Schizosaccharomyces pombe: one gene and its partners. The gene in region 2 interacts genetically with the main gene of each other region. Each region holds a gene or a part of one and is shown on either strand. Other genes may lie near its edges.

Evidence for each region.
Region 1: mutations in rad21 (region 2) and hsk1 are lethal when combined (synthetic lethality), as found in Schizosaccharomyces pombe (2 studies listed by BioGRID, with this or other methods).
Region 3: of rad21 (region 2) and psm1, a mutation in one rescues a mutant of the other (synthetic rescue), as found in Schizosaccharomyces pombe (3 studies listed by BioGRID, with this or other methods).

Annotation. Positions count from the first base shown.
Region 1 is NC_003423.3:3,196,560-3,202,210, reverse strand, and holds hsk1 (Dbf4(Dfp1)-dependent protein kinase Hsk1), read left to right. Parts: upstream 1-3,009; 5' UTR 3,010-3,235; coding exon 3,236-3,464; exon of another isoform or gene 3,465-3,522; coding exon 3,523-4,368; exon of another isoform or gene 4,369-4,431; coding exon 4,432-4,880; 3' UTR 4,881-5,151; downstream 5,152-5,651. Other genes in the region: condensin complex non-SMC subunit Cnd1, read right to left, coding at 1-1,718, 1,810-1,888, 1,959-2,073; rpl2801 (60S ribosomal protein uL15), read right to left, coding at 5,274-5,651. UniProt on the Schizosaccharomyces pombe protein: Required for G1/S transition. Plays a role in DNA replication checkpoint signaling through regulating rad3 and cds1. Involved in the maintenance of mitotic chromosome structures during S phase through regulating the function of rad21.
Region 2 is NC_003421.2:1,339,263-1,347,558, reverse strand, and holds rad21 (mitotic cohesin complex non-SMC subunit Rad21), read right to left. Parts: upstream 4,667-8,296; 5' UTR 4,468-4,666; coding exon 4,435-4,467; exon of another isoform or gene 4,355-4,434; coding exon 2,501-4,354; 3' UTR 2,166-2,500; downstream 1-2,165. Other genes in the region: F-box protein Pof3, read left to right, coding at 432-2,165; SPOM_SPCC338.18 (uncharacterized protein), read left to right, coding at 5,937-6,290. UniProt on the Schizosaccharomyces pombe protein: Cleavable component of the cohesin complex, involved in chromosome cohesion during cell cycle. The cohesin complex is required for the cohesion of sister chromatids after DNA replication.
Region 3 is NC_003423.3:2,537,807-2,545,657, reverse strand, and holds psm1 (mitotic/meiotic cohesin complex ATPase subunit Psm1/Smc1), read right to left. Parts: upstream 4,943-7,851; 5' UTR 4,916-4,942; coding exon 1,250-4,915; exon of another isoform or gene 1,204-1,249; coding exon 1,183-1,203; 3' UTR 501-1,182; downstream 1-500. Other genes in the region: exonuclease I Exo1, read right to left, coding at 1-109; histone H3-H4 chaperone, CAF assembly factor (CAF-1) complex subunit A Pcf1, read left to right, coding at 5,705-7,339; spo5 (meiotic RNA-binding protein 1), read right to left, coding at 7,631-7,851. UniProt on the Schizosaccharomyces pombe protein: Involved in chromosome cohesion during cell cycle and in DNA repair. Central component of cohesin complex. The cohesin complex is required for the cohesion of sister chromatids after DNA replication.

The DNA.
Region 1 (5,651 bases), on a different chromosome or scaffold from region 2:
GTGATGTAAGCTCAGCAAGGCTAGCATCATATGTTAATGAAATAAGATTTCTCGCAATATAGTTTGCGGCTTCGTTGGTACCAGAGTTCGGAGGTGGCTCAAAAAATAATGTTTTATAACATGACAATACATGGTTCTGAATGTTGTTCCCTTCGTCGGAGGTTCCTTTTACCCAAATTAAATGAATCATTTTTTTTATATATAATTTTGAAGACGAAATTCCAAAAGAATTGCAAAAAACAAAGAAATCCATTGACTCAATTACCTCGCTCTTATTTTTAGCAAACAACAACTGGCTTATTATTTTTGCTCCCGCTTCCACAATGTCTATATATTGGAGTGCTTCTAAATAAAACCGTTTCGTTAAATTCACTTTGACTATTTCCTCAGCAGGAACAGAATCGACATATTCGCTTAGAGAATTTTCCAAGTGACTTTCTCCTTCATGTGACTCATCATCTTGGATCATAGTAGCATCCTCTAATAAGTTTTCATCGACTTCAAGCTCTGAATCTACCACCTTTTCTTGTTGCTTTGGTTGTAAAGAATTAAGCTGTTCCTCGATGATAGATAATCCTTTCTCCCAAATATTTCTGGTTAGTAAGCCATTGTGCATAACTGAAAAAGGATGGGTAGTTAAAAGTTTAGAAAATAACTTAATTGCATTTCGGCGGACATGACTTGACCGATCTTGCAAACATCTGATCACGAGTTCCGCGATTTCTTGACGTTTTCTGGGATACTTAATTGGTAAATCAAATATTTTGATAAAGACGTGAAGTACTTTAGTACGACAGTAAGGGCTTATATCTAGTAATCGCTCACTGAGAAGATCCATTAAGCTTTGAACAGTTGCTGGCACTGACTCTGACATTTCATTTTGAGCCTCATCATGAATTTGATCAATGACCACATTAGCAAGTACTTCTATGATAGCGCATCTCAGAGTATATGATTCCGAATCAAGCAGCTTAACTAATTGAGTAAGCTGTTTCAAACATAAGTTTGGAATAAGTGAAGAAAGACGGACAAGAAACAAAGCGACTTGCTTGGGACCTTTAACATCGTTATCATTAAATTCTAGAGAGCACAATGTTCGAATAATTCCTTCAGCCAAGGTAACGGAATTAAACTGAACGGTAACAATATGAACAAGATCAGCAGCATACTCAGATAAATGCTCAAAGTATTGTAAATTTTGAATAATATTTGTCTCCGCTGCAGTGGTATGGTTATGGAATTGAACAGCAAGCCCGATAATATTAAATAAACGAGAACGGAAAGAAGCATTTTTTATGTTAATTTCACTTTCCATTAACGTGTATATTGGTTTTAGGAAAAGTGAAAGAAACATGTCTCTTTCCGAAGAAGTAGTCCATACACGAGATAATTTTTTTTGAAATAATGTTATGATTGCATCTAACAAAGCATTTACATGTGAGATACCATTCCAGTTAGAGTTAGTAGTTGGATTTTTTTTTCTTCCCTTAACAGTATTAGTGGATGACCGAATAACTGAAAGTTGATTTGAGGAAGAAAGGGAATTGACCGTGAGCTGAAATGCAATGCCTGTAGTTTCTAAATTCGTTTGAGGTACAGTAAAATCAGTAGCATTTGCGGAAATCATATCTTCAAGAATAGCGGATTCAGAGCTGATATTACTCGTGAGTAAATCATATACTTTATTCCTTACAGAGGAAGAGAGGTCAGCAAAGTGTCTAAACCATTATTGTTAGTTTGGTAAAATTGATATATAGTAAACCAAATGGCTTCCTTCTATTTGAATAACACAAAATAACAACTACTTACGAACATATAGCAAAGAGTTTTTCCAAGCAATCCTCGTCGAAACAAGAACTCGTTCCTAATAAAAGGGTATCAATGACGTCTAATTTTTCATTGTTAGTTATTGTGGAATCGATCATTTTCAATTTTTTTAAAAACCCAAATGTCCATACCGTTAACCACGGCTGTCAATCCAGCATTTTCACATTCAGCATAAATCGAGTCCAAGTCGGAATTTTCTTCATCATGAATGTATTTCTTTAATCTAGAAAGAAGATCCAACGACATTGAGGCCACTGAAAGCCGAATCTTTCTATGTTACGAATGAAATAAAAGATGGATTTGGCGTACTACATTCTAGTAGTCCTTGTAAACAATAACCCCACCTATATGTCCTGTGTGGGGGTCCATTTATACTTTCTTACTAACAAAAAAGAGCTACGGTTAGTCAAAATATAAAATAGGAGCTAGACTTAATTGTTGCTAACCACTTTAAGGATATAGAACGTGCTTTTATTAACTCATTTGTTTACATTAAAAAATAATATTTTAATTAACTTTTATTGAGCGTGCCACGTAAAAGCTATTGTTCTTTTTAGTACTTCTAATTAAATGTTTTGAAAAGAATTTAATATATTTTTTGAATAACGTTAGTTGTAAATTCTTTCTTGAGCTGTATTTCTGATATAAAAACTTATAATTTATTTTGGCGCATGTATCATTTTCAAGGTGATTTTCAAAATTATTATGAATGCAAATTTTGACGAGGTAAGCATTTGTGCTGTTTTTAGAATTTTAAAGTAATACACAATAAACTAAACAGAAAACCTATCGTAGTTTAACTAGGAATAAATTTCAAATTCAGGATAATTTTTTTATTTATTTTTAAATAACAGAAAAAAAAAACGTGTTTGAATACCATGGTTAATCATATTTACTCTCAATGTCCAATAAATAGTCAATTCTAGTTGTTTATGGTGGTTATTAACAATAACAAGAGCCCAAAGGATTTATGTTTTTTAAAGCAAGTCCTAAATTTAAAAAAAGATAAAGGACATGAAATCTTAATCTTTTCCATAAGTATACAAATATTATAGCAGAGTACTTTTTTTATTAAACAAAAGTTGGATTAAAAATGTATTTTTCTTGTTTGGAAGTAACAATGTCCCTCATTAGAAGAGCATTTTGCTTAACAATGTACAACTGGTGTTGAACCTGGAATCTGCAAATTCTTATATTCATGGAATGAGTTTGTGTTACACATTTTAAAAACTTGATTTTTTTGAATCTTAGTATTCGTTCGCGTGTTCGGTTTGAAGGTTTAAAATACGTGAAAATTTGTTTTTTCTTGGTTCCTTCCCTTGGCAGCATTTTACCATTTAATTGACGACTCTTTTAATTTTTTTTAAGTTATTATTTGGTTTAAAAATATATGAGTTAAACCGTTAACATGGCAGAGGCCCATATCACACTATCACCTAAAGTAACTCATGAACAACAAACAGATATTGATTCTGAATGTGAAATCACTGAGGTGGACGATGAAAATGTAAACGAAAACAAATCTCAAGAAATGATTCAAGATATCCCTGCACGAGACCGCGAAGAAATTGAAAATATCACAAGGACGTTCGTAGAGCTACAAGAGAACTATCGGCTAATTGAAAAAATTGGAGAAGGTAAACTTCAATTACCGTTTTTAGTACTGTTTTGAAACTATCTTGCTAATTCGTTTAGGTACGTTCTCCAGTGTATATAAAGCGGAAGACCTACATTATGGGAGGTATATTAATGATTGGGACATTCAAAGTGAAGTGTTAAAGGAATCTTCTTTTGGAAAAGAAAAAATTCCTGTTAATGAAGACAGCCGGAAACCGAAGTACGTTGCTATAAAAAAAATTTACGCGACAAGTAGTCCTGCTAGAATATACAATGAATTAGAAATCCTATATTTATTAAGGGGATCGTCGGTAATAGCCCCGCTAATAACTGCTTTAAGAAATGAAGATCAGGTACTCGTAGTTTTACCCTACTACGAGCATACTGACTTTCGTCAATATTATAGCACTTTTTCCTATCGCGATATGAGCATTTATTTTCGATGCCTTTTTCAAGCTATGCAGCAAACTCAGACTTTGGGAATCATTCATAGAGACATTAAGCCTAGTAACTTTCTCTTCGATGTTCGTACCAAGCATGGTGTCTTAGTTGACTTTGGATTAGCAGAGCGTTATGATGGAAGACAACAATCACATTCTTGCCGGTGCACTAATTCAAATGCGGCCGAATTAGCACATGATTTTTCGATTGCGCAGGAAACATCTCTTGGATACATAAAAAACGATACTCGACCAAGCAAACGGGCCAATAGAGCCGGAACTCGAGGATTTCGAGCACCTGAAGTATTGTTTAAATGCTCATCTCAATCACCCAAAGTTGATATTTGGTCTGCTGGGGTTATTTTGTTATCTTTCCTTACTAAACGTTTCCCCATGTTTAATTCAAAGGACGACGTGGATGCACTCATGGAGATAGCATGTATATTTGGAAAAAGCGAAATGCGCCAATGTGCTGCTTTACACGGTAAGAACGATCTAATGTCCCTTACGGAAGTGTTTGTGTTGATTTTTTTCGCTAACCTGCCAGGTTGTACGTTTGAGACAAATGTAAGCACGCTTACAGAAAAAAGAGTAAACTTTAGGAAACTTATTTTGTGGGCCAGTTGTGGTTCAGCCAGTATATACAAAGAAAAGCTTCGTCATAAACCAAGCCAAGAAGAGCGATTGTGCCTGGATTTTTTAGAGAAATGTCTTGAACTTGACTGTAACAAAAGGATTTCAGCTGAGGAAGCATTGGATCACGATTTCTTGTATCTCGATAATTTAGCTTACGAAAAGAAAGATGACGATACAGCTTTTGATAATAGCTTTGGAGAAACCTCTTTCGAGAAAGACGAAGACTTAACTGCTAAGCACTTATCCCATATCCTTGATTTTAAAGAGCAGGAAGAAACAGATGAACCTACTTCTTTATCAAAGCGGAAGCGAAGTATTGATGAAATTTTACCAAATGATGCTTTGCAGGATGGAGCTTGAGAAGATTTGCTGGCAATTTCTCATCAAGCAATCACTTATATTTGTGCATACATTTTCATTTACAGTATAAGCATTACTGTAATCATTGGGTATTAAAGTGAAAGCATTATTGTATGTCTATACATCGAAAATACCCTATGGAATTTTTGGGGTGCATTTTCAGTTACAAACATTAATCCATAATTAATTTTACCATAGCATAACGAACACATATCAGCAGGTGAGGCTTTTTCACTTACTGACTTAATTGAAATAAAATCTCTATACACTATTTGACCAGAGAATAACACTACAGATTGATCATACAACAATTATATTCCATCAAAGTATAGACGGATAAACGAATCAAACAAAATTAATTTTATTAAGCCACTAAGCAATCACAGGATGTTCTTAGGCAATGAGCTCAACGACACCACCAGCTTGCTTGATCTTCTCTTCAGCACGACGAGAGACATAACGTGTTTGAATGATGACGGGAGTATCAGGCAGACGACCCTTACCCAAAACCTTACCGTAACCAGATTGTAAGACATTAATAACGGGGGCAACCTCCGTGTTTTTACCAAGATACTTTTCACGAGTTTCGTTGGGAACCAAGGTCCAAAGACGATCCAAATTGACAGTAGGACGCCACAAAGGATTCTTCATGAGGTGGAATCGACGCATACCAACCTTACCAAAGTAACCAGGGTGATACTTATCAAAGTGACTACGGAGGTGTTGCAAACCACCGGCCTTACCACGACCACCGGGATGCTTCCTGTGCTT
Region 2 (8,296 bases):
AACACCATATAAGAAGCTATCCTTGCTTTATCTTTTAATCACTTTATTGTTTTGTACTCAATAGTTAAACCCAAATATTTTTTGATCGATTACCGTATGCTAATTTTGCTTGAGATTGTTTACGTGTTTTAACATATGAAAAGCATAACAAATAAGTAGATACTTTTTTTTCCAAACTTTTGGTTACATGCTTATTATTAGTATTTTTGCACATTCAATTTCTGTTTAAATGAAATTTGAAGGCGCTAGCTTTAACTATCCTTTAACAATTCTAACTTACTCCATAAAGCTTGCGACTACGAAAGCATAATATATACCTCAAAAAGGATATCGAGGTTCTTAAAATACGGTTCATTGGAAGCTATATGGGAGGTTTATGTTTATGTATAGAAAAAATAAATCGTTGGGTATAGAAATTAAGATTTGGATTCATGAATAACTATCAAGTAAAAGCAATAAAGGAGAAGACCCAGCAATATCTCTCTAAAAGGAAGTTTGAAGATGCATTGACATTCATTACTAAAACCATCGAACAGGAGCCCAATCCTACGATTGACTTGTTTGAACTAAGGGCTCAAGTTTACGAAAAGTCAGGTCAATACTCACAAGCAGAACTTGATGCTAAACGGATGATTCATTTGAATGCAAGAAATGCTAGAGGTTACCTACGCTTGGGAAAACTTTTACAGCTTGACGGCTTTGATAAGAAAGCAGATCAATTGTATACGCAAGGCCTGCGAATGGTGCATAAAATGGATCCCTTGAGACCGGTATTAAAAAAAGTAAGCCAAAGATTGAATGAAAGAATTCTTCGGACCAGGCCGGTACTAGATTTGTTTCGCATTCTTCCCCGAGAAGTCCTATTATGTATTCTACAGCAACTAAATTTCAAAAGTATTGTTCAGTGTATGCAAGTCTGCAAACACTGGAGAGACTGTATTAAGAAAGAACCTAGCTTATTTTGTTGCTTAGACTTTTCATGCGCCTCTCCTCGAAGTGTAAACTCTAGAGATCGAAACGTTATGGCTGTTGCTCGATACTCTGTTTATTCAAAAGACAATATACAGGAAGTAATTGGCTTAGAGAAGCTTGGTATATTAACACCTACCAAAGCCTTACTTCGTTCAGTCAAATCACTTAAAGTCTACAAAACCATTTCACCTCTCCACACTCAGTCAACGGATAAATTGTATACAATTTGGACGCCATTTTCTGAACTTCACTACTTTTATTGTGCTACTCCTATAACATTTTCCATAGCTTCTAAGATTTTATCTTGCTGTAAGAAACTCAAGCAGGTTGAGCTTGTTGACTTAATTCCCGATTTGATATTTGATTCTATGGATTGGGATAAACTCTTTAATGCAGAATCTGTACCGCTGGCTCTTAAATCTTTGACGTTTATCCGAAATCAAAAGTTTCCCTTTCACCATAAAGAACAGCAATTTCTTAAAGACTTGCTGTCTGCCAGTCCATATTTAGAATATCTGGAAGCCTCATATCAGTCAGACCTAGTTGCTGCAATAAAAAAATATAAAATTAATCTCCGATCGTTAATTATCATTGATGAAGGAGTATCGAATACTGTTAAAGATCTAGCATTCCTTCCTCAATCTCTTACCACGTTAATTGTGAAACCCTGCAATCCTGCATCTACAATTTTATGTCCATATTTATTCCCTACAAATGTCCGGATGGAATCACTAATCAACTTAGAGTTATTTCTTTATCTTCGTTTATCTCAAAATGATATCGATAATGTTGTCAAATTTTTGACTTCTTGTTACAAACTAAAAAAGCTGGTTCTACACGATTCGCTAGCATTGGCCCCCCATTTCTTTGAAATATTTGCATCTTTACCGGAACTTGAGCATCTTGAGATTCCTGATAACGTTGCTCTTCAAAATAAGCATGCAATACACATTACTGATTGTTGTCCAAATCTAAAGTATGTGAACTTTTCAAATTCAATATCCCTCGATGGATCGGGATTTATAGCAGTTTTACGAGGACTGAAAGAATTAAAACGTATAGATATTATTAATTGTGATTCTGTTTCTAGAGATGCAATAGATTGGGCGCGCTCCAAAGGTATGCAAGTTACCGTAGCTTCCTCGCTTCCAAATTCTCAACCATTGGGTACAAAAAAGATACGCCTAATATAATATGATCATATTGTCTTTATATATTCAATCCTAGTAAACCCGTATCATCGCATTGAAAGGAAGATTTTTAAGAGATAGATCAATCATTGAGAATAAATTAAAAAGCGCGTAAGCTATTTCTAATCATAACTTTGTGTTGAGCTGATAATATTACATACATCCAACAGTAATATCGTAACTCGGAAAAAGAAAGACATACAACTCGTGATTCCAAAAATAAAATAAAGATAAAAGAAAGCAATGAACAATATTACTGTCATAAAAATCTATTTCGTGTAAGTATTCACACTTATTTATAGATCTAATTGGATTTTGAAAAAATATTAACCGACCTCTCATAGTGATGAAAGTAGCATTCCACGTTTAGCAGTAAGCGTGATTTCGTTCTGAATGGCAACATCCTGCTTGACAGATATAACATCCTTCGTCGCTAAAACGAGGACATCAAAGAAAAGTTGAACAGCTTCCTCTCTATTGCATCCCGCACTAAGAGTTTGGAAGGATACTTTTTCACCTTCAGTATAAGGATCCCACTTATTGCGTAGAGAATCTTTGGCTGTTTGTGAACTAGGAAGGGCCTCAGATACCGAAGAGTCCAATCGTTCGCTTCCCAGCAAATCGGCCTCGTCCAGCATTACGGGAGGAGCGTCAAAAAGTGAATCATCGGCTGATTCCAAGGCAGTAACAGGAAATCCCATTGGCGAACCAAGCTCAGGAGCTTCTCCTTCTGGTTGAACAACGGTTTCTTGTGGTAAAGTAGCGATAGCGGCTTCAGTAATGTTGGCAAGCTCAGCGGCTGCAATTTCTTCAGGGTCCAAGACTTCAGCAGTTTCTTGGTTTTCAGTTGAGGTATCAGTACGTTGGTGCTTGGCAGGCTCGACTTCCTCTGGGCTCTCATTTTTTCTCTTTCTTAGAATTGCCTGTTTGAAATCAGCTTGCAAAAGCTCGTTTACTTTAGGGTTCAGGTTGGAAGAAAATATGGAAGTATTAAATTTACCGTTTCGAGTAAAATTAACGGTGGCATTAAACACGATGGAAGATGTATTCAAGCATAACGGTGAGGTGATGGAAGATGTATCTGCCAATTGTTTTTTCATTTGCTTGGAGGACAATTCAGTAACGGGATCAATAATTGCACGTTGACGACGTACAGTTTTCTGTGGATTGATCTTTTCCTGTTGAGGAGCAGTGGCGCTTTCAACAACCTGACCTTCCTCTACTCCTGCTGCTGCAGGACGAGATGAATCATCTTCCATAATGTCAGAAGGGAGATGAATACTTGATGTTTCAGCTTGTTCATCAGCCTCTATCGCCGGAGCATTAGCACCTTGTTCATCTCCTAAAAGATCATCTAAGCCCAAATCCAGGTTTAAATCATCAACAGGAGCCAACAATTCATCATCCAATGAAGTTCCTCCTATTGGTAGCATGCTTGGCGTACTAAAATGAGTGACTGAACTAGCCGGCGACTTAGTCATTTGAGGCCCAATAATTCCACTTAAATCGGTGGCAGCAGCAGCAGGAGCATCTCTACCTACTTCTATAGAAATTTGGGACTGATTATCAGAGTGCACACTTCTAGGTGTAGCAGCACCGGAATTTGAAATGGGAAGATGAAACTGCATATCATTGCCAACATGTGCGAATGATTCGCCCAAGGAAAACCCTGATTCTACTTGGGCATTTCGTCCAGCCTCAATTGATAGCTGGGAAGATGGAAAAGAAGGAGAGGAAGATATTGGTAAAGAATGTAGTTCAAGAGTGTTCGAAGAACGAGAGGGTGTACGAAGAAGTTGAGACCATTGAAAATCAAATGTACTATCAGGTACCAAAAGATCAAACTCTGTAATTGTCTCAGGAAGAGTGAGATTAGCGCTCTGTGTCACAGCATCTTTACCTTTTAAAGATTGGAGAGCAGTAGCTGGTTCAATCATATCAACCTGACCCGGTTGAAAGGACATTTTCAAACGCATCAACGCTTCCGTACAATCCTCCAATAAATACCTAGCCTTTCTGGAATAAATGCGAACAACACCCAACATTAGTTGTCCTGATAGGCGAAGGGCCATTGGAGCGGTTTCCTCCGTGACAATTGCATGGACGCTTTGCTCAATACTGGTGTGCAAAGTTTGCACTTTGGAAAGTTTCTTTTCCCAGTGAGCTGCCAACCATACCTTGGCCAAAGGACCCTAACGCGAACAGTTAGTCAGACGATTCAAAGACAAATTAGCACTGTTTACGCGCTAAAGAAAACTTATAAACTACATACCTTTTTTGAAAGAATGGCCTCTGAATAGAACATAAGAAGCTTAATATGATTAGGAGAAAAAGATAGAAAGAAATTAAAGAGTAAAGACAAAAAAAAGAGGGGAATCAAAAAAGAACAAAAATAAACAAAAAATTAATAAATATTAAAATGAAAGAAATGCTTTCTTTCGCAAAATTCGCCTCCTCACTACGATATAAGCTGGGTATTTGTAAAAATGAATATACGTGGTGCTGGTTAAATGAGTACGCGCTGCGCGTAAATAAATCCACGTTGCCATGCCGACAATGAATATGATACATAAACAAACTAGTATGTGTAGCAACAAATAGTTAAATAAATGAATAAAAAAAGCTTGTATTGAAGTTAGAAACTGTTGAGCATGATCAAGGGAATATGCTTCCTCGAAGAAGTTGATTTATCTTTGTTATATGCTTGTATGTTTCGGCCTACTAACTGTATTATAAAATGATGCGCTAGATTTACGTTCACATATGTGCATAGAAGGCAACAAAAGGCATTTGAATTATGTTATTCAATTAAAATAGTCATAAGACATAAGGGGATATGTTTTTCAATAAAACGGAAAACTCCGATTACAACCTTGTTTTAACAATCTTGAGTTAAATTTTGACCATCCTTATTTTGGAAGCATTATCCTTCCATTGAATACATTTATCAAATGAATTCCATTCATTAATTGCATCTTCAATGCCATTTTTTCTGTATGATTAAATAGACTCGTAAAAGGATGTTTTCATCCCATTTTAGTAATGTCAAAACACATTACATTAAACGAATATGTAATAGAAATTACCACGACTGAAAATTTATTTTATTTCTATTATATTATTGTCAAAATTAAAAGGTTGATTGTGACTCGTATGCCAGAAGAAGGTTAATGAATAAAAATACTTATAAAAATAAATAAATTTTTTTTTTTTGGGTAGGGTGTTTTTTTTTAACGATAAACCCCATCCAGATAAATTCGATAAACAAGCTAATTTATTTAAAAAATCAAACAAAAAATAGAAAAAGGAATAGACAAGAATTCCATCCATATTCGTCTAGCAAATTCGATTTTTCCATTTCCCAATAGTGGACACTGCGCAAAACAGTTCCCGTATGTTTTAGTGAAGGGGAATTCGAGTTTGACTGTTGGAAGAAGGCAATTCGCTCATAAATCATTTTAATAAATAAAATGAATGTATAGCATTATTTTCGCCTCTGCAGAAGTTTAATGTCATTGTTCATTGTTGGCAATATCCAATGTGGGGGAAGGCGTAAATAAAATGAATACGTATATGTTTCTAACCTTGATTCTTGACTTTTCCCAACAACGGTTCACTGACTTTAAAAGAGAAAAAGTATAAATTACTAAAGCAATTGTTACATTTAAATAGATTGCTAAGGACTATTGTCTAATAATACAACAGTTACCTTTATTAACGTTTATTTTTCTTTTGGAACACATTGAATATTAAACTAAATTGCCACAAAACAAAATGACTGAACAGAATATCGATATCAAAAGAGAATTGAAGGATGAATCTCCAATTGGGCAATCTCCACATCTAGAAAATGATGGTCGTCCTAGTCTTATGTCGCGCTATAGCTACTCGTCTATTGAAGAGGTATCCAAAGAGGGCTATCAATGGTTTAAACATCAAAGTGTATTTCTTAAATTTAGCCTAATTGTACTTTTATTCTCGTTGATGTTTAGTTTGACGTTTGGTTCGTTGCTTGGATTAATTAGCCTTGCTTTGGGCTTTCCTAGTGTGGGATATCGTTATGTGCTTCTGCCCATATTAAATGCATTATTGAACCGTTTAAGACTTAATTCCTCCGGTTTGAAGTAGTACGAAAAGCTTGATTTCTTTGGGTCTCCCGTTTCTGCTTTTTGTGTCCGAATTCAAAATGAATCATCATAAAAAGACAGTGTTCTTGTTTACCTGAAAGCGATGAGTAACTTACCCTGTTGTATCTTAGTTTACGACGATCCTTGTATAACGACTGGAAAATAAAAAAAAAAAGTCAAAAAACTGTGAATATAATAAAAAGTGATTTTTTACTTGTTTAAATTACAGCCTAACCTGTTGCAACCTTTCAATATTCTTTCCATCTTCAAAACTACTTACCCACCCTTACCTACTTGTTTTAACCGTGTCGCCATTTTTTAACTGCCAAAATTACGGGCGAAACTCCAATACCACATATTCCCTTTTATTAATTTATTTAGCAATTATGATTTAATACAAATTATCTTTAAGATCTTCAAGCTCCTTTTGTTACTAAAGTTACGTTTTGCTTGATAGGCCTAAGTGAGTTTATCTTCATCTGATAAGAAGATAGCACTTTATTCTCCAGAGGATTCTGACTATTTCAAAAAATGCACAATTATTAGCAGTGCCTATTACTCTTTGTTATGCCTTTTATATTGAACGAATTATTGAATAATCATGACTATAAATCTAAAATATACCGTATTTGCTGATTTTAATAGTATACTTTTCCCTAGAGACCCAGCTTTTTTAGTTAAACATTAAGACTATAAACAAAAACAGGCTTTTACTAATAGCTCGACGTACATTATTTGGGTTAAGAATTCTTGATGCAGTTAGATGCAGAGATGGTTTTTTTTAAGCCATAAACGTTCATCTTGTAACCCTTGATTGTTTTTTTGATGGATTCTAATGTGCTTGAGTGCGTTATATGTTTAACCATTTTAACATATGAGTGTAGATGGAGGTTGAGCCAATATGTATAAAAATAGACATTTCTGCTGGACTTGAGTTCGACTCCAAAATTCTTTCAACACGTAACTCACATTGCCGCGATTACCTTGTAACCTACAAAAAATACTCAATGCTACATGGTCCTTCAGTTGGCAAAATGTATTGAGAAACCCTACAGTTCCTTTTCTTAAGCAAGCTGCTTAATTGAGCCTGCTACAGAGAGTCGTACCCATACCATACCCATGTACGCTATATCAGCCCACTACATATTAGTGCAACCAATATCATGGATGAAACAACTATGATTTCGCGGATGTTTTAGCACAGCAATTATCACTTAAAATCTATACCCAGATATCCTTTTGTTTTCCAATAGTCGATGATGATTCCTCACATTCAGCAATTATTGAGACGCTGACAAATGGACTTGAGCGTCTGTCAGCCAGTTTTCCGTGGCTAGCTGGTCAGGTTGTTCACGAAAGTTCAGAAGGAAAAAGCTTTAATATATTCAAGATTAAACCGTATGAGAAAACGCCTCCTTTCTTTGTCAAAGATCTTCAGCATGTCCCTTCTATACCCTCCATGGACGCGCTCAGAAAAGCCGATTTTCCTTTCAGTATGCTGAACGAAAGTATTTTCGCACCTCGCAAAACGATTCCAGGAGATCCTGATGAACAAACGTTAGGCTCAGATCCAGTTTTCCTTGTCCAAGCCAGTTTCATCACTGGTGGTCTCGTGCTTACGTTTGTCGGTCAGCACAATGCAATGGATATGACCGGCCAAGGTTAGGTTATCAACCTCTTTTCTAAAGCTTGTTGCAATGAACCATTTACTAGCGATGGTAACCTTCCCCGTTACAACCTTATCCCTTTACTCGAAGACTCTTACGAACCAGGTTCTGAGATGGATCATTTCATTTTGAAGTCACCTCCTTTTTATTCCGAACTTGAAAGCGTTGATAAATCACATCCTCCTCCTCCTAAATGTATTTGGAGTTACTTTTGCTTCGACCATAACTCACTCACCGCTCTTAAAACACTGGCTACAAAAACTCTCCCCTCGTCGTTTGCCTCAGAATATATATCCACCGACGATTCCCTTACCACATTCGTCTGGTAAGCCATTATTCG
Region 3 (7,851 bases), on a different chromosome or scaffold from region 2:
TGTGCAACCAAACATATCCATCAACTCCCAAAGTCTTGCCAGAAAACTCCTCGACATGAGAGCTTTTCTGCATAGGCTTCAAAAGTCCCAAAAGACCTTTAATTCCCATGTTTAAAGCATTCGTCAAGCACCAAAAGAATGCAGGTGCGTTATCGAGATGTTGGTTCTGTAACAGTTTTAACGTAGTACCCTTGGAAGTGTGTTGTGTATCTGATCAACAAATATATTCTTGCAGTCGATAGGCCCAAAACGAACAAGTATAAAATTTACTTTATCATTAAGAAAGGATAAATATAAAAGGCTTTGTTATTGTTTATGTGTGAAATAATTTAAGGAGCCGGCTATCATTGTTTGAGTATGCTGGTGTACTTCTTTTCTAAACATCTATTCAATCGAAATCATTAAAATCATGATAATACTATAAGTAAGTTTTTTTCTTTAAAGTTCTTTGTTTGAAATCTATCGTGATTGTTAACTAAGACTACGGTGAATCAATCAACCATTACCAAATCATTGAATTTAGCTGTATGAGGAAAACTCAAGCGCAAAATTAATATTTTAAAGTTCTATAAGCTGCGGTTTTAAAAATGTAGTGCGGTTAGCATCTAGTTGGGTTTAAACATATTTTAAACTATTCGTCGCTAATAAAACGTTTATTCTTAAAAGTATTCTTGCTAGTTTGTGACTGCAAATACTGTTAAACTAAAAAGGAAAATGCAATAGTTAGTTTCCGGAGAAAGCCTTCTAGAATAGTAGAGACTTCTCAAAATTGTATGCAGCCAAATTCATTAGTTAACAAACAGTCAAGGGGTGAGCCGAATCGTCTAAGCGTAACTGCGTTACTGGAATTATATTGAAAACATTAACCTCACTTAAACCCAACTTCCTTGAAACTAGGGATTAAACATAAACGTAGCTGACAATTGTGACTTATAATTAATGTTTCTATCATTAGCCCAGTCAATTCAGAGACAAAATCAATTAAGGACATAAAGAAAAAGCGTTGTAAATTAAAAAAGTCCTTGATCAATTATAGAAGGAAACTTAAAACAATTAAAATTAAATTCGTTAGAAATAAATAAATTACGCAAATATATATTTGCCATCCCTATTAAACATAAAGTATTCTTAGAATATATTAACACAGACATTAAGCAGCATATCACAGGTTAATATTATCATTTACTCCACATAACCTTCCAACTGTTTTTCGTTAGTATTTTAAAATTAAGAAAAAGTAATCCCTTACGTTGATTGATAATGTTCGTGAAGAATTCTCCTGTTGATCTCTATAAATACCCACTAAAGCTTCTGATTTACTGAACAACTGATTTTTCAAGGAAATGACAACAAATTGAAAACCGCTGGATGCATGCTGTCTAATATAGTTGGCAATCTTGGTAACGTTGGTTTGATCCAAAGCTGCATCAATTTCATCCAATACAAAAAATGGGGATGGCTGATAAGAGTGGATAGCAAATAGCAGAGCCAAAGCAGCCATGGTCTTTTCTCCTCCAGAAAGTTGATCCATATCTCTAAATCTCTTCATAGGTGGCATTGCATGGAACTTGATTCCTCCAAGATATGGCTCATCGAGGTCATCCAAAGTCAAATACGCTGTTCCACCAAGAGGAAAAGCAGGACTTTTGGTAAGTTCCTTATATATTGGATCGATTTGTTCCGAGATATGCGAAAAGGCAGCTTGAAATTTTTGCAATCTCTTTTGCTTAACGGCATTGAAGCGTTCTTTTGCGTTTTTGGCTGCTTTACGAGCAGCAGCAAATTCTTCATCTAACTTCGCCAAGCGAGTTTCTACTGTTTCAAGTCTCTCAATAGCCCTTAAATTAGGAGACATCTGATCCAGCTCTTCCGAATACTCTCTCAATTTTTCTTGAAGAACAGAAGCCATACTCTCAGAACCGTCATTGCGTAACTCTTCATCCAGTTCATCGTAATCCACTTCTACTCCAAATTTCTCAAAATTTATTACTGGTTCAGACGGCTCTTCGCCCATGGTGATATCACCGCTGTTTGAGACATCATCTATAGGTATGCTCGTCAAAGATCCTTCGCGTAACGGAACATCTATATCTTCTAGTTTGCATTTTCGTAAAATTGCGTGCCATTCAGATACATAGCGGTCAATCTCCGATTCTAAAAGAGTAATGTTTCCTGATAACTTTGTTAACTCAGACACTAATCGTTTGCCCACTAGCTTTTTCTCGGATGCAGCTAATAAAATTTTTTCAGTTTTAGAGTTCTCACTTGCAAAATCCTCCTTTAATAATTCAAGCTCAGCCTCGGCAGTTGCAACTTCTGATTCAAGTGCTTCCCGATTTTGCTCGTAATTATCAATAGATTCCTGATCTTTTTCAATGAATTTATGCATACGCTCTAATCGTAACCTGGTATCTGAAACACGTTGTTTTTCAAAACTAATACGATTTTCAAGTAATGATTTTTGCTTGGTGAATTCGAGTTGTTTTTGTGTAAAACTTTGAGTAAAAGTGCGATGTATCTCATCGTAAGTATGTATATCACTTATCCCAATTCGTTTGCAAAACCCGGAGAATATCTTTTCCTCAACCTTTTCTACTTGAATTTGAAGCTCATCTCTACTTTTAACAAAGTTGCGAAGTTCCATTTCCAATTCTGACAAGTGAGGCTGTTTTTCTTTGATTAAAGATTCGTAATGTCCAATTTCCTTTTTTTTGTCTTCCACGGATCTAGAAACTACTGTATATTTGTCTTTGAGTAGAGATATCTCAGATTCAAGACTATGCAACTTGACAGTATCACTTTCTGTAATCACACAAGATGACTTTTGATATTCTATTTCACCAATTTGATGCATAAGTCTATCTTTTGTTTGAGTAAGCAGATCAAAATCATGGTCATCCCAGTGTTTCGCCGACCGGTTGTTTGAAGATCCACCAGTAATCAACCCTGTTTTATGTATAACCGTTCCCTCTAAAGTAACTGTCTTGGCATTGAGACGTTTGTTATAGGAAAGGTCTCGAGCAACAGTCATTGAATCACAAATGAGTGTATTTCCAACTGCACTAATCATTACACGTTCATATTCAGACTCAAAATTCAAAACGTCAATTGCAAGTCGGGCGCCTTTGTGTGTTCCACGAAATTTTTGATTAACGGGACTGGCTGCTATGGTGTCCATTGGAAAAAAGGTCATAATACCTATGCGTTGCTCTTTTATATAGTCAATACACTCTTTAGCAACTGCCTGCGTTTCGACGACAATTGCGTCAAAATTTTTGCCTAAAGCAGCAGCGATTGCGCTTTCATATTTCTTTTGAGTAGGAGTACATAAGTCAATGATTCTTCCTTTGACTTCAGGATATATCCTTTTCAAAGCATACAATGCTTCTCTTTTTTTAGCATCCTGTTTGGATTCATTGCGGTCGGCACTTGCCTCTAAAATTTTCTGTAAACAAGATTGAAGCTCTTCATTTAATTCTTGTGTTTTATGAAAAAGCTCAGAATAAGTCAACCTCTTCTTCTGCTGATCATGCTTTTCAAGTTCCAAACTTTCAATCTTTTCATTTATTTTAGCAAGCAAATCCGCTCGCTCGGTATCAAGAGAAGAAACACTTTCATGAAGGCTTTTAATCTTCGACTCTAAGTCTCCAACGATGCTCGTTAATGAATCCTTTGATTGAGAAGTAACTTTAATATTCCTATTTAACGTCTGCAATTTGAACAATAGATTTGAGTTTAATTTGTCCGCCTCACTTCGAAGTCCTTCATACTCCTCTTTATCCTCTGGTAACAATCGCAACCCTTTGAGTTGCTCTTTTTCCTGCATGTCTTTTAAAAACTCTTTTTCAGCAGCTGAGAGTGAAGTCAATTGATTTTCTAATACTTGTAACGTACTAGCTTGGTCAGAATAATCTTTTTCTATTTCCGCAGCTTTTCTTTGAATTTTTCGGAGATTTGACTTAGACTCTAGGGCTTTCTCGGCAATTGAAATGAGCTCTGGACGTTTCGAAGCAATCAACTTTTCTTGTTTTCGAACTTTTCTATCGAATGCAAGAAGGTTTCTTCGTATACTGCCCTCTTTTTCTTTCAACTTTTCTATCTCTTTAGTGTTCTCATCTCGCCTTTCGATAAGTTGAATGGAATCTGCCTTTAATCGAGTAACCTCTGCCATATTAGAACTAATACTTTTCTCTAGATGAAAGAGTTTCCATAAAAGGTAAACTAACTGCGCAGAGTCTCGTTTTTCTTTTTGACTTTGATAACGCTCGGCTTCAGTTTTCTGTTCTTGATATTGGCGTAACTCAGCGTTGATACCACGTTTCTTGTTAAACGAATGAGCAGATAAATTTACAGCCTTGTCCTGCTCGTCTTTAGATTTATCGTACTCAGATTTATATTCCAGAGAGCCACTTATTTGTTCAACAAGCTTTGAAAGTTCTAAAGGAGATTGCGAAGCAATGGTTTCAACATCACCTTGAAAAACTAAGAAATTTCGAGCTCGAACAAGAATATTCTCCTTTTGGAGAGATCCGCAGTATTCAGAAAACGTAACTATTTCTTCATCAATTTTGTATTCAGTAGCACCAGAAGGAGTGATTGCGCGTTTATACTCTCTTTGCTCCCCATTATCCAACTCATACATAAGTTTCACATATGCTGTAGTAGGATTACTAGAATCAGTGAAATCTGTATTATCTCTTTGCAGTATTTTCCCCCGATAGATCAGTTCTTTAACATTAGTTGATCGTAAATGAGAAGACTTGACCCCTAAAACAAAAGAAATGGCATCCATTAAATTCGATTTTCCGGCTCCATTAGGACCGATAATCGAGGTAAAGTCCTCAAAAGGACCTATAATTTGATGTCCTCGATAAGACTTAAAGTTTTCAACTTCCAGTCTTAGTAAACGTCCCATTAGGAAAACTTGGTAAAAGGAATGTACAAGGTGTGTATGAAACTCGCGTACGCGTCTTTACTTGATTAGATATTGTTACCTACTCATTACGATTACATCTCATAAAGTTTCAGAAATCCACGATATAATATATAGTGCAACTTGATATTCACTGTAACAAGAACCTCGTTATTATGATATTATCCTTCCAGCGAATTACTATTCTAAGCTGCATAGCCCCTGCCTATATATGTACGATGCATCGTTATTGAAAGAAGTTTGCTGCATATAAATAGGAAGAAAATTGATGATAACAACATCCGTTTGTTTCATTATTAATGAATTTGTGGTACTCCAATCACCAGTTAAAAAATATGGCAAATAATTTCAAAGAAAATTCTCGTCAACTGATATTAACTCAATCATAATATAGATGAGCCATAAAATATTAACATTAATATCGTAATGCAATGTAGCAGTAATATTATATAATCGTAGTCAGGTAAAATATATAACAAATCACCATATTAACCCATTCGCAAAAAACTTTGATGTTTAAGCTACTCAGATCAATCAGTACATATCTTGTTAGAACTAAGGAATTAAATTATTCAATTATATAAGCGTTAAGATGGATGAATAATAGATTGGTGAGACAGATTTGGGATAGTGATGTATATAATAGAATATTAACATATAATTTACGAACTCTCCTTTATCCTCTTTATTCGATCAGAGCGTCCGTTAAAACAACTTACGCACGGTTTTTAGCCTCCCTTAGGCTTGTTATTGATATTCGCAGCATTGTCTATGAATAGTGAAAGTGTTGATTCAGATGTCGCGGCCTCTACTAGTAATAAGGGAAATGAGTTATGTAGCTCTTCCACTGACATTACGTCTTTATCAGTGAGTTCCCCGAATGAATCGGTTATTCATTCCAGTCACTCTGCAAGTGAAGCTGATGAGTACGTTTGCAAATTAAGTTATGAGGGTAATAGAAAGAAAAGAATTTATAATGGCTCTGCTGAAGCGGGTAAAGAAAAGAAGCTTCAAAAACAGCGGGCCCAAGAGGAAAGGATTCGACAAAAAGAAGCAGAGCGTTTAAAACGTGAAAAGGAACGTCAACAACGAGAGCAAGAGAAAAAGCTAAGAGAACAGGAAAAAATCGCCGCTAAGAAAATGAAAGAATTAGAGAAATTAGAGAAGGAGCGGATTCGATTGCAGGAACAACAAAGGCGGAAGGAGGAGAGGGATCAAAAGCTTCGTGAGAAAGAAGAAGCACAGCGCCTTCGTCAAGAACAAATCCTTAATAAGGAAAGACAACAATTGAAGTTAAACAACTTTTTCACCAAAGGAGTTGAGAAACGAATCGCGCCAAACGAAAATTTTGTAGCTGACAAAACGGATGAACTGAATGAGTTTGAGAAAGAGTTTCGCCCTTTTTTTATAAAGCATCAGATGTCCCTTTCCAAATATCCATCTCCGAACGAATCTGATTCTTTTTTGGATGAAGTCCTCTCAACCTCTAAATCTTATCCTTTAAAGCTAAACGACATTTTTACACCATCAGATGCTGTAAGCTCCGCAAACAGTTTAGGTGTTAGTAATAGAAATTCCGAAAACGAGGTTCGACAATTAATGAGCGCATATCAAGATCCATCTGTTTCAAAACCTCAAGAAATTTTATCTTGTTTATCACAGATTCCTATTAAATTCATTTTCTTTTATCAGGATGTTCGCCCTCCATATTTTGGATCTTACACGAAAACCCATTCCCATGGTTCTAACGTTTTATTGAATCCCTGGCTTGAAGATGAAGACATAGACTACACATATGATTCAGAAGCAGAATGGGTAGCTGATGAGGAAGATGATGGAGAAGATTTAGAAAGTGAAGATGAAGAGGTAGATAATTCCGATGATATTGTAGAGGATGGTGATAATGCTTTTGTGGATGATGAGGATGATGACAAGGATAGTGTCAATGCTTCTAATACCCATCGTTCCTCCGGCCCATTAGAGGTAATCGTAGAAGGTCCGGTTTGGGATTCAAAGTTTCTTCCTGACTTTAATTGCTTATCTTTAATTGAACCCATTAGTTCATTTTCAGCATCTACATATCTCCAAATTGATCCTAAAGAGGATTTATGGGCTTCTCAAGATACTGCTCCAGCGTCTAGTGGAATGACAATTGGACCTACCAGTTCACTTTCTGATGATTTACAAGTAAGGTTTCCTTCTGAAGATATACCCAAATTTATAGAATATGTCCGTAACTCTCATGACAACAAAGTATTCCTGATCGAGAATTTGAGGCACATGTTTCCTTACGTAACCAAAAATATTATCAGCGAAACTCTTGGAAAAGTCGCTGTGCGTAAAGGAAAATCAGTATCTGATGGTTGGATAATCAAGGAGAATTTTGCATCCCTTTTATCCTCTTAATTCACAGTGTGCAATTATCTTGAACACTCAAGGACTATTTATACCTCTCTCTTTTTATACGATTAAGCAAATATGTATAATATCATTCATTAATACTGTAGTGGTTTGACCTTTGTTATATAACCTGATAATAAATAAAAGAAAAAACATAGAAAGAAAGCTTTGGCCCTTAATTGTAAGCTTTGTCTAACAGGTTTTATGTTGGTTTAAGTTTGAGTATGTGATAAGTGTTTGAAAAGATTTCGATATTAGAGTTTGATGTTCAAGTAAATGCTGGAAAGATGTTTAAATTTAATTAGCAGCAGAAGTAGCGGGATGGGCATGATATGGCGTAGTACTTCTGCTGTTTTCATAGTTTGAGGGATAAACGGAATAAGAGGGATACATACTTTGCCAACCGTAAGTATCATAAGTGGGTGAATGTTGATAGACTGTGTTCGACTCCAATGGCACATACATTCCAACTTTAGAGGGCATAGAGTTATTTGCGAACTCCTCAACTTTGGAAAAAG